Linked DNA regions of Nothobranchius furzeri. The protein of the gene in region 2 interacts with the protein of the main gene of each other region in a pairwise test. Links are inferred from orthologs where the notes say so. Each region holds a gene or a part of one and is shown on either strand. Other genes may lie near its edges.

The links.
Region 1: the proteins of fhl3a (region 2) and patl1 interact in binary tests that used the Homo sapiens proteins (3 or more experiments, as listed by UniProt). The two-hybrid records come from large-scale screens. The link is inferred for Nothobranchius furzeri from reciprocal best matches to the Homo sapiens genes FHL3 and PATL1.
Region 3: the proteins of fhl3a (region 2) and mrpl27 interact in binary tests that used the Homo sapiens proteins (3 or more experiments, as listed by UniProt). The two-hybrid records come from large-scale screens. The link is inferred for Nothobranchius furzeri from reciprocal best matches to the Homo sapiens genes FHL3 and MRPL27.

What each region holds. Positions count from the first base shown.
Region 1 is NC_091746.1:29,999,369-30,003,477, forward strand, and holds the start of patl1 (protein PAT1 homolog 1), read left to right. Parts: upstream 1-1,258; 5' UTR 1,259-1,377; coding exon 1,378-1,392; intron 1,393-4,050; coding exon 4,051-4,109. UniProt on the Homo sapiens protein: RNA-binding protein involved in deadenylation-dependent decapping of mRNAs, leading to the degradation of mRNAs. Acts as a scaffold protein that connects deadenylation and decapping machinery.
Region 2 is NC_091745.1:70,520,159-70,524,500, forward strand, and holds the start of fhl3a (four and a half LIM domains protein 3), read left to right. Parts: upstream 1-1,539; 5' UTR 1,540-1,681; intron 1,682-4,342. UniProt on the Homo sapiens protein: Recruited by SOX15 to FOXK1 promoters where it acts as a transcriptional coactivator of FOXK1.
Region 3 is NC_091756.1:2,484,090-2,488,166, reverse strand, and holds the start of mrpl27 (large ribosomal subunit protein bL27m), read left to right. Parts: upstream 1-1,218; 5' UTR 1,219-1,328; coding exon 1,329-1,365; intron 1,366-1,431; coding exon 1,432-1,542; intron 1,543-1,548; exon of another isoform or gene 1,549-4,077.

The DNA.
Region 1 (4,109 bases), on a different chromosome or scaffold from region 2:
AAATATCTGGTTACTTTTTAACGAAGTTACAGCGGTGCTGATGACAAATATACAGGAAGCAGCGTCCTGACCAATCACAGGCTTGCAGTCTCCGTCACTTTCGACGGATGTTTAAAATTTTGGGCTTGTCTCCGTCACCCTCTGTGAGCCTGTCGGAGAGCCCTTGCGCCGACTTATAATGGTGCTGCGTGTCTCCGCATTGATGCAGACGGAGAAGTATAAATCAGGCCACACATGGGAGTGGGTCTAAGTCTCTGGGCGACGGCTTATTTGATGCAATGTGTCCTTCTACGGGAGCCCATGAGGACAAATTTCATTTACTGATTAGCAACAAGCGGTTACAAAACTTTTGTCATTCTTAAATGTTGTTTTACACATGTACATCTTCACTTGTTGCCAGTGATGAAAGAGTGTCTGAGGGTGACGGTGGCACAGGAGTTAAGTGCTCGCCCCGTAATCGGAAGGTTGCAGGTTCGAGCCCCGCTCAGTCTGTCGCTGTCGTTGTGTCCTTGGGCAAGACACTTAACCCACGTTGCCTGCTGGTGGTGGTCGGAGGGACCGGTGGCGCCAGAGCTCGGCAGCCTCGCCTCTGTCAGTGCGCCCCAGGGCAGCTGTGGCTACATCGTAGCTCATCCCCACCAGTGTGTGAATGTGTGTGTGAATGGGTGAATGACTGATTGTGTTGTAACGTGCCTTGGGGGGTTCCAGGACTCTAGAAGGTGCTATATCAAATAAAGGCCGTTTACCATTTACCATTTATTTTGCAAAAGTTTACACTCCCCAGGGCTTTTTGACCCTAATGGATATCCGTTGGCATGGTCTTACTCCAACACAAAAAAACTGCTTGCAACGATTTAGGTATCTACCGCCCCCTATCGCCAGGAAAAATACACACTGTCACTTTAAGTGTTTGTTATATAACACATTTATAATTACACTTTTTCAAGAGGTCATGTGATACTTTTTACCTAAAAGCTGAAATATCATTATTATGCATGATTTATAAAACAAGGATTTAAAATATTCTGCTTCCCAGACTCACCTGATGTTTGACAGCAATTCATTAATCTGCCTGTTTCGCTAAATGCATTTAGTTAACATAAATAATGAAAGGGGTCGAAAACAAAAACATTCAGAAAACAAAACCAGGCTCATATCAATAAAAACATATTTGTTTACCGTGTCTCTCCGTTTTCTGTGTTTACTGTCCTTCTTCCTGTTTTTCCAGCGTAGCCTCAACGTCACCAGCAGCCACGCAGTTACGTGCTCGTTCACTGTGCTGTCACGCGCTTAAGTGAAAGACGTCCCGTCCCCGCTGCGTCGTTTGCGCGCAGCTTCGCTCCTGATGCTCTCCTTTTCCCGACAACCTGAGGATCGATGTTTCGATTTCAGGTGAGCATTGGTCCGTGTAAGTGAGCCTGGACCCCACCAGAACCGGGAGGTTTGTGTGTATCGAATGTTCTCTTGTGGTTCTGGTCCGCGTGAGGCTTCTGGCCTTTGTTTATGCGGCTGCCAGACTTCAATGCGGTCTGCGGCCTGTGAAGCAGCCCGCTTTCCTGGTGACGTGAGCCGGAGGGACGGCTAGCCTCCCCGTCCTCTGTCGGCCCAGATAACCCGGCTGTGTGATTCGTATCGTGTTGCTGTACAGGGCCAGACTGCGGTCACTAACCCGACATGATTTTATTTGACAGATTTTCTACTGATGTGTTTTATGTGATGTAATGTCCAGGTTAGCACCGAAGCTAACTGGTCCTCGGGCTGTCTGCAGGATGTCTGAGGGTCGCGTGCAGCTTTTCTGCTTCACCGTGATTTAAGTTTAGATTATCAGTAAAGGAAACCCCCACTAGCTTCATTTACAGTCATCTTTAGTTCTGCATTTAGACTCTTAGCAAATGTAGAGCAAGAGTTGGGACTGGGTTATTCTAGACCCTTTGACTGATGAGATAAAATTAGGTAAAAAGGTGGTCTTAACAGGTACTTGTAAACTTTTCAATTCAAGTTTATTTATAAAGCGCCAAATCACGACAAGAGTTGTCTCAAGGCACTTCACATAATAAACATTCCAATTCAGGTCAGTTCATTAAGCCAATCAGAAAAAAGTTTCCTATATAAGGAACCCAGCGGGTCGCATCAAGTCACTGACTAGTGTCTGTGACTATACAGCAATCCTCATACTTAACAAGCATATAGCTACAGTGGAGAGGAAAACTCCTTTTTAACAGGAAGAAACCTCCAGAGGATCCTGGCTCGGTATAAGCAGCCATCCTCCACGACTCACTGGGAATGGAGAAGATCTAAAGTGGTTTCCTGTTCAGTCTGAGACTCTGAACCTTTCCTATTTAGGTCCTTATTATCTACAAAAATCAACAAACCTGTGCGGCAGCTCACCAGGCTCTGCAGCAGCCTGTTAATCACAGCAGATTCAAACCAGGTGTGTTTAAGCAGAGAAACAACTAAAACCTGCTGGATAGCGGCCCTCTAGGGCCAAGCCCCCCCCCAGTTCTACACCATGGAGCAACCAGCTTTTACTTTTTAACATAACAGAAACCTGATCTTGACTCAGTCCAGAGGTGGTGGTGACCTCTTTAGACTATCTGGGATTGACCAAACTCACTGGGAAAATGGGAATTACAACGGTCTTCCAAGTTTTTGTTGGAGGAATTGGACTCCATATGGACTGGAACCAAAGAAGAGGATCATCCAGACTGGTGTCAGCACCAGGTCCAAAACCCAGGTTCTGTAGTGGATGTGGACCTGTGTTCTGTAAGGGTACGGGTTTGGATCCGGGTATTTTGTCTTCATGTCTTCTGAATCGGGACTCTAACAAATTTTGCAGGACGAAATATTGTCCAACAAGTTATTGACAATAAATGATATTATTGTCGACGTTATCGAGATAACCACTAATGTAATGTTAATCATTCATATTAATGCAAGTACATCCTTTAAAATGCAACAATTAAGCCTTTAACTTCAGTGATATGTTTTCGGCAGTAATGAAACGTCTGAGCTCTGCCTGGTTCCTTTGAGGTCGTAGAGATCTACGTTATTGATTATAGACAATTTCTGAAAATACAGATCTCTAGCCTCCATCACGGTTTTATTCCTGTTAGGAAACCTTGTTGTTTTTTATCCATCTTCTTGACTCTTGTTCTGCTTCAACTTCATCTGCGCCGCGGCTTCCCCTAACATTAGGAGTCACATGGCGCTGGTTCTCCCACGCTCCGCTTGGCCTTGAGTCGGAAAGGGGTGTGTCTTCTCCTGGTCTGGGACTGAACAAGTATCTCGGATTCTCGTTCATGAGTGAGGAAAAGATGGAGCATGAGATCGACAGGCGGATTGGTGCGATGCAGTGATGTAGGCGTTGTACCGGTCTGTCGTGGCCAAAAGAGCAGAGCAAGAAGCCAAAGTTCTGGATTTCTTGGTCGATCTACGTTCCATGGTCGAAATGAGTTTTCTCCAGGGTGGCCGGGTTCTTCCTTAGAGCTAGAGAGGAGCCAGTTGAGGTGGCTTGAGCACCTGGTTAGGATGGCTCTTGGATGCCTCCTTGGTAAGGTTTTCTGGGCACGTCCAACCATGTGGAGACCTAAAGGAAGACCCAGGACACGCTGGAGGGACTGCGTTTTTCGACTGGCCAGGGAACACTTTGGGTTTCCCCCGGAGGATCTGGTCCACGTGGCTGGGGAGAGGGAAGTCTGGGCCTCCCTGCTTAAGCTGCTGCCCCCATGACCCGACCCCTTATAATGGGAAGAGATTGGATGGATGGATGGAGACATACGATTTGCTGTTGTGACCCTTGAAGGGACAAGCCAGAAGATATGAAAACTGTAAAATTACAACAAGCTGAATCGATTTTCTGAATATTTCGGCAAATAAACTGGAAATCATTTCAGGATTATTAGTTTTGAAAGTAATGAAGCTACTCGTGATTGTGTTTGGTCCCGTGTGCAGAGAAGATGTGCGTGTTTTCGTTGATTTAGCATTTTTTTATGTTTAGTTCGCATTCCTCCTGGTTCCTAACTCATCCGCTCTTCCTGTTTGCCCGGTCAGTCCCTGGATGACGACTGTACGCTGGAGGAGGAAGATGATGGACTAATAGAAGAGGAAGA
Region 2 (4,342 bases):
CTGCATGATCTCTGACTAGACTAAAAACACAACGGGGTGACTAAGTCACACCCATCTACGTCTGAATCATTGGGTTTCCTACTGCCAAAAAAATAAAAAGAATGGGAATCTTTGAGCCGATAAAATTAATTTTCTAATCCTGTTAGATATGATATAACGTGTCATGTCTGTGAACTTTAAAGACCTATTTTGATGCCAAGAAAGAGCTTATTGTCAACAGGTGGCAAAAGTTATTTTAGGGTTTTTTTTAGGTGTTGTGTGAACACATGCTGGACTACAACTCCTCGTCTCACCAAATGTCATCAAACCAGGCATGGAGAAGAAAAATGGCTGTGAGTTTAACGAGCTTCCAATCCTTCTTCCAGGATGAAAGAAGGAACATTAAACGTGTAGAAAACCACCATAAATCTTGCGATGATGTAAGCAGCAGCTACGCTAGGGGAGAGGAGATTCTGTGGTGACATCATAAATGTGACTTCTGATTTGTAGTTTTTTTTAATTATGGATATTTACAAACTAATAAATCTCAAATTACATGACATAGTCAAAACACACATCATTACCAGATTCTTACTTCACTCCCACTTCCTGTTTGAAAAATGCAACAAATTTTGTGGCCTAGCACACCAAGAGGGCGGAGCCACTAAAACACACGCACACACGCACGCACACACACACACACACACACACACCTACACACACACACACACACACACACACACACACACACACACACACACACACACACACACAGGCTCACAACTACATTGTGACATCAAATGGTACCAGCTAATGTTCTAGGATACCCCTTAGCCAATAGCGATGGCAGATTTAAATTCAAATGCAGTGCAGAGAGTTTACCTGACAACAGCACAACACTGACAGTTTTAGGCAGAAAATTAAAATTTTAACTAAAATGCACTAAAGTGTTAATCTATTGACTACACGTGTCTGCAGCACGATTAGACACTCATTTATTTAGGGTGATTTGGGGGTGACTTGCTCTTTAAGTATGTACGATGCGTGTGATTTAGGGCGAGAGGATAAATGGACCCAGAAAATAACTTTTTGACTTCATTCATTTCTTTTTTTTTTTTTCAGGAGACCCATGGCTTTGGCTACCTATAGATCATTTTGATTTCTTCTAAAATTTCAGGACCATTTTTTAAAAGTTGATCCATAATGAGCAGAGTGTCATAATTAAACATGTACTGTGTTCGTTAGCCTCAATTAAATATTACTGATCCTGGCCAGCTGGGTTGAGGTTGTCGACCATTTTCACTAACAACATTACTTATTAATTTAATGTAAACAAAAACGTCTTTAAAACTCTTCAACTATTTAAAAACTGACTCTTGTTGAGACAAATGCTTTGAATCCAGCCTCCTGTCTGGGTTTCTCCCTGCTCTCATTTGAAGTCTCTAAAAGAGAGAAAGGGAGGGAGGGAGGGGGGAGGAGGTCTGTTTTTTAGAGGGGAGGCGGGATCTTGTGACTCACCAGCAACTTCCTCAGTAGTAGGACAAAAGTAGCCGGCAAACTGCATCCATCAGAGGTCTGACTTCAGTCAGAACTTAGAAAGTTTTACAGAGACGCTGTTGGAGGACCTGACTGATCCTAGATCTGATCAGAGCTGGACTCAGCAGACAGAAAAGAGTGCTGGGAAGGTGCTTCCTCTCTCCTGGTAAGAATAAATTTACATCCCTCATGGATTTTTCTACTTTTTTTCCCAGATAAACTACTTTAAAACTGATATTTGAACAAATTCATTGGCGTGTACAAAGTTTCAGGCCCATTTAAAATACCAAGTGAAGCTTTAACAGAAAATAAAGGTTCAGAAAGAATCAATGAAGTCTGAGCATTAAAGAAATGTTGGGATTATAAGCCACTGGATATTGTTTTATAAAAGGATGGCATGTGGTGTATCAGGGCAAAGGGTGAGTAGAGTCCAAAATTTAACATACTTTTCTGTTTCTTTATGATTTCATCAGTAAAAGTGAATAAACAGGTGGTGGATAAAGGTTTAGCCTTTCAGTAAAATGTCCCAGAAAATTACAACAGATGTCTGCATTATCACACCTATTTTTGTCGCTCTGCTTAACGCTTGTCTCTTATACAGAAATAAATTAACCAGTGAGCCAAAAACCATATAAATAACATCATCTTGGTGGGAAAACGGGCTCTGCTGGCTTATGTGAGCCACTTACCTGTATTTAAGCAGGATTAAGAGCACAACATTGGTGTGTGAGCCTTCAGAAAGCCTAAACGTGTCATCTCAGTGGCAGGAGGAAGTGGGATAGAGCAGTGTGCGTCTGCTTGGGTGTGTCTGTGCTGCAGCGTCTGGAGTCGTTTTGGCTGAACATCAATACGTCGCATTACATAGTGAGCTGTCATCATCGTAACGTCTGCTAGGCACACGTGTTGCTTCATGTGGGAGCTGGAGGAAGGGCAAAGTGTTCAGACTTGTTAATAAGAAGGATGGATAAAGATGTGGGATGGAGAAACTGCAAGTCCTCACACAGTCCTTCGTTGTGTTGTCTTGGCTTTAGTTGGAAGGACAGTCAGAGACATTAGAGGCGTGAAATGTGAAACGGGCGATTATTAAGGGAACGTTTCACTTATTTGACTGATTTCTGGATATCAAAGCAAAGGATCACGTTGAATGTTTGCATCATGAACTTCTTGTTGCATCAAACCAGAAGCGACACACTGAAACTATGCTAAAGCCCTCCAACTACAATCCCTTTCCTTATTGATTTGTTTCACCTTTTCCAGGTTAGCATTCTCCACTTGTGCACCAGTTTGTGTCTGATTGGATTTGGCTCTTCCTCAGAAGATTGCACACCAAATTATTGAGAGATTTAGTGTGAAAATTTCATTCACGGCGGCTGAAAGCACAGAAAATGAGAGCAAAACTGTGCGATTAGGAGGAAAATGCTAAACCGACTTCAGAGATCATGCATCGAATGAAGCAGAGCTATATGATTTCAGGAAAACATGCAACCGCAATTTTTTTTATTGTAACAGTCAGTGATATCCACAGCATAAAGCCACATGTTGGAACACCGTCCATGGCTGTGGGCATTCAGGGGAGCATATGATTGCAGTTTGTTTCCAATTAGTTGGAATCTTTTGTGTTATTGCGGTCTCATATTGATAAATCAGTACGGTTAAAACATGATATATTGTTAAAACGTTCATTTATTTACATTTCAAGAGTAATCATAAACCCTGCTGCATCGTACATGAGCTGTGGTTGGTTGAATTCTTTACTGATACTTTAATACATGTGCAGGGGTCTCTAGTAGGAAGGAACACCTTGTAAGTCATTCTCTGGAGGGAAAAGCTCTGGCGTGCCTGTTTGAGGACGTAGAAGTCAGCCGGAGGAGAAAGACGCTTCAGACGATAGGATTGGGAGTCTTATTTCCTAAGATTTGGACATCTCTATTGGGATTTGGATGACAGCAACGCGGCTCTGCCAAAGCTGATTTTTTTATCCCCACAAATAATACAAGCCTGAAGGAGTTCTGCTGTGTGGTGGAGTTGCTAATGCTAACGTTAGCTTCTACTCTGCTGTTTGCTAGATGCTAAACTAACAACAGCCTTCCCCATTGCGAGCCAAGATAGGCGAGTCCATGAATGTTAAATGACAGTTTGACGTGGATCTGTCAGGCTTTTCTGAACCAAGCATTTTTTTTCGAGTAGTTTCTATCAGAAGCAAATGCAGGACATAAGTGTAGGAGACTGTTTTCAACATTCAGTCTGTGTGTTAAACTCAGAGTGACCGATCATTTTTAAAAATAAGAAGTAAAAAAAGGTTTTTCAGTGAACCTGCTCTTTGCATAACGTGTATTTGAACCTGAGCTCAGCCCGTCCTCACTAACACAACAGCCAAAGCCACTCCAGCTCTGCTCTTTTCTGTCTGTAGCTGCAGAATTTATAGCCTGGAGGGCTTGGAGGAATCCTGCTGTGCTCTCCCCACTGACAGGTTATTTTTACACAAACTCTTTGTCCTGGTAACAAGCAGAAATAATTCTCTAGCAGCCAAAACTCTAGTCATTCTATCCCATTTAGCAGCTGGGAAGTTTGCCTTGACAGAGCCCACAGGCTGTACAACGTATTTGTTTTCTTTTTTCCCGTCTTCCTCCCTCTCCGTTTCATTGACCATGCTCACATTCCTCGGAGGTCTCAGTGTTTTCCAAAGGTTAGCCCTTAGCCCAGCGCGATGGTTGGAGCACGGCCAGTTCTAAACTGCACTGGGATGACGGCTGAACAGCTCGGACTGGTTTTATGCGTTGGCACCATTTGAAACAGAGATAATGATGGAGGAAGTCAAGTGTATGCA
Region 3 (4,077 bases), on a different chromosome or scaffold from region 2:
CTGCTTTTTTTAAGCCAACAGTAAGATAACTGAAGCATGCTAAATAATAATATTAAATCGTCGCTAAACATTAACATGTTTGGATAACTTTTTTCAAGAGAAACGCAGGTTAGAAACGTCATCGCTCTAATGTACGCGCTGACAGAGCATACACATCTCGGCACAACACCTGTGCCGTTTCGAACCGAACCCACTGGTTAAAAAGGACCTACGTGTTTTAAACTGAGTGTGGGACCGCACCACTGACCCTTCACCAGACCGCTCCGGACTCCCAACGACAGCTCGTACAGCGCGGCTCGGTTCCGTCCACAGTTTGATTCCCCCGGTTTTCCGGATCCTCCTTCTTCTTCTGCAGAGCACACAGCGCAGAGGTACACTGCCGCCCCCTGCTGGCAGAAAGGCTAAATCAGCTCTTCCGACAGCACGGTTCTCTCCCACTGCCAACTCGTGTAACCTGCTCCCGTCCTGTCAGGAATACCAGATGCCTCCCGACGCCGGAAACAGAATTCCAAAGGGTCACGTTTCATGTTAAGGCTGTGATCAAAGCTACATCTTCTCTAGCATCAGCAGCACCCACCTTGTGATTCCCTCAGAGGACTGAAGAATTTCCTTCTGTTACAAACACTTCAAATCAAACGCAGCTACATAATTTTTCCATTATACGCAAAAGCCAGAGGAGTTACTTTTGATAACATTTATCCATAAGATGTAATGGCGAGGTTAATGACACATACTTTTTACCCATCGGTTGTAGAAACAATGCAAATTCCTTCTTTTCTTGTAGTGAATCATCATCAGGTTCATTCCAGGGAATTCAGAATTAGTCGCTGACTGATGATTTCCTTATGGTCTAGCAGCAAAACTACTCCTGGCCTGAAATGGGAAGTCGTGATTAATAATAACTTACCAGATATTATTTACACACATGCAAAAGTTCCGCCTAGCCCGTTCTGCACCACCTGTCATACCTCAGACCGCTGTCACACCTACTATAAAGTACTTATGAATGAATGAACGAATGAATGAATGATCATAACTGAACACACCACGAACTCGTACATGAAACGGTTAATTCTTTTATTTTGTTTAGAGAAACACTTTATTGAAACACTGAGCTCTGTCGTCACGTCACGGTCATCACGTGACTTCGACCATGTTACAAAAAAGACCTCGGGAGGTTTTTAACCACAGTGTGTGTGTGTGTGTGTGTGTGTGTGTGTGTGTGTGTGTGTGTGTGTGTGTGTGTGTGTGTGTGTGTGTGTGAAGAAAAAGTAAGGGTGTGAGGAACAACCGGATGTGACGTAGAAGCACAGGCGTGACTACCAAACATGGCGTCGCTGTGGTCCTTGCTGCCGTCCCGAACAGGTAATGGCTTCCAGCTCTGTAACGCTCCCGCCGCGGCTGGACCTGACCGTGTCTCGTTGCTTTCAGCCCTGCTGCCGCTTGCCTCGGTGAGGTTCGCGTCTAAGAAGTCTGGAGGCAGCACCAAGAACACCGGAGGGAACAGCCCCGGACGCAGATATGGCTTCAAGAAGCAGGATGGTAATGTTTACCTTCTCAGTGGTCTATGCACGTGACCGCCCTGGGACTGGAGATGGGTCATGTCCGGGTCGGGTCGTACCACGGCTCCCTGACACTCAGCTTGAAGCGGGGTGGCCATATTTCCTATAGAGGACAGGGGATCTGTGCCTATGACGTCACACTATGACAAAACCACACAGACCACGTTAGGACCATTTTTTTCCCCAGGTGAAGAACTAACATTAATATCAGATTCTGCCAATAAAAGGGCTCTAAAACAATTCATGTGTAAATATTTAGCATATTTACTGCAAAATCTCATTTTTCTGCTTTAGTGCTGCAACAAGGTTTTATTAATAATAAATTATTATACCTTTTGTTTTACTACAGCATCGGTAAGCTTCCTGTGCACAGATTATTAAGGATGCTTGTTTCAGCTGTGAGATTAGACGATAGGATCAATGAAAAAATAAGTTGTCACACACTCCATGGAAACTTTCAGAGAATCCACAAATAGTGGCTTTCAAATGGTTTTGTTACTTTTTACAAGTTTAGAAAAGCAGCAGATGAGACAGCGTGTCTGATAATTTACTTTTTCATCTGATAATATTAGAACATGTCAGTAATGTCTGAGGGGCTTTTATAAACACCGTATAACTAACACTACTGGAGAGGGCATGAATTACACAGAGGCTTCTGGGGAGCCCAGTTATGGGGGTGGGGGGTGTTTCGTTTTGCCTTGGCCCCCAAAATGCCTTGAAACGGCCCTGGGTGTGTGACTGAGTTGTGAAGGTGATCTGAATTGTATCAGATGTATAAATATTACATGTGTATAACTTATTGTTTTATACAGGTAAAAATGTGTAGTGCAGATAAATCTACCTACATTTTACTTTCTTGTTCTTATTGAACTATTTCCTGTCCTGTCTGTCTCTCATCTTCCTGCATCTCCTCTAGCCTAGTGAAGTAGACCAAACTCTTGCTTTGCAAAGTTTGCCGGATGCAGCGGGCGCACCAACGATCAGCGCTCTGCGTCTTCTCCACTCAACAGAACCCCGCTGCACTGAGAGTCCATAAATATTGTAATATAGGCAGAAACTGGATCTTTCCCTGGAAGATATCTAGCCCCCATAACTGGATCCCTGCTCCTGCATGAAAAACCGGACATTTTGATCAAAGTAGGAACGCCCCGGACAGAGAATGAAGATTAGACATGTGCGGGGGAAAGAGGACATACGGTCAGCCTAGTTTAAGAGGTTGGACTGGCGCTAAACCACCATGGCTCCCAAGCCCAGCCACAGCTGCAGCTCCCTGCAGGGATGGCTCAGAAACGGAGATGAGTGTCACCAGTGTGTGATGACTGAAAGTTTAAAGAGCAAGTCACCCCCCAAGTCAACTGTTTTTGCTGATAAATTATATAAATGAGTGTCTAGTCGTGCTGTAGACACGTGTAGTCAATATTTTGGCACTTTAGTGCATCTTGGTTAAAGTTTAAATACTCAGCCAAAAACTGTTGCTGTTGCACCGTAATCCGGTAGAAACTCTGCACTGCATTTGAATCTAAATCTGCCTTCGCTATTTGCTAAGAAGCACCCTCTGACGTCAGCTGGTACCATATGATGTCATAATGTTGTTGAGAGCCTGTGTGTGTGCGTGTGTGTGTGTGTGTGTGTGTGTTAGCGGCTCCACCCTCAGTCTGCCAGGCAACAGCATCCGTTGCATTTTTCAAGCAGGAAGCGGAGTTAAGTCTCTGGTAGGGGGTGACTTGGTCTTTAAGTCTCTGGCAGGGGGTGACTTGCTCTTTAAGTCTCTGGTAGGGGGTGACTTGCTCTTAAAGGCAGGTGGGATAGTTCCCCTCTTAGTCCATTCTAAGTATTCCCTCATCCAAAAAAGCAGTTTCACAGAGAACGTCAATTAAAATAAGAGATTATTCATAATAAACGCAGAACGTTAGAACTGGGACAGAAACATGGGGTGACTGGTTCAGGTCCGATGGTGAAACTGGTTAGCAGGTGTTCAGGTTCTTGCCCAGATTGACCTGAACCTCCTGCCCACGGGGAGTGGTTGGAACAGCAGCGATGCAGCCTCAGAGCCGTGGGTGGGAGGGTGCAGGGTCCTGCGTTTCACCTGTTTGTCCCTCGCAGTGGTCCCCACGTACGTGACCCTGGAGGTGAGGATGGACTCGATGATGGACGGGTATATTTTGGAGCCTCATCACAGTTCTGAGTTTCTTTAGCGACCATGCAAACCTGAACACAAATGCCCAGTTCGACCAGTAGGGGGCACTAACGTGACATGAGCATTGAAGTAGAAATCCTGTTTTAAAGGAACAAACTACAGTTTTGGTTGGCTAGAGGCCGTTTTAAGCTTGGTTTATGCTTGACGCATTCACTTTCCGCTTGGTGATGCGGCTCGTGGCAGGAACACGCTTCACAACTCGCAGCGTTTGTGGTTCATGCGGCAACATCTTTGAATTAATATTTTCCCCAGAACTTTATTGAACAAAAGTAAGTTACGTGTAAGAAAAATGCTTTTTACTGGCGCACAGTGTGGTCA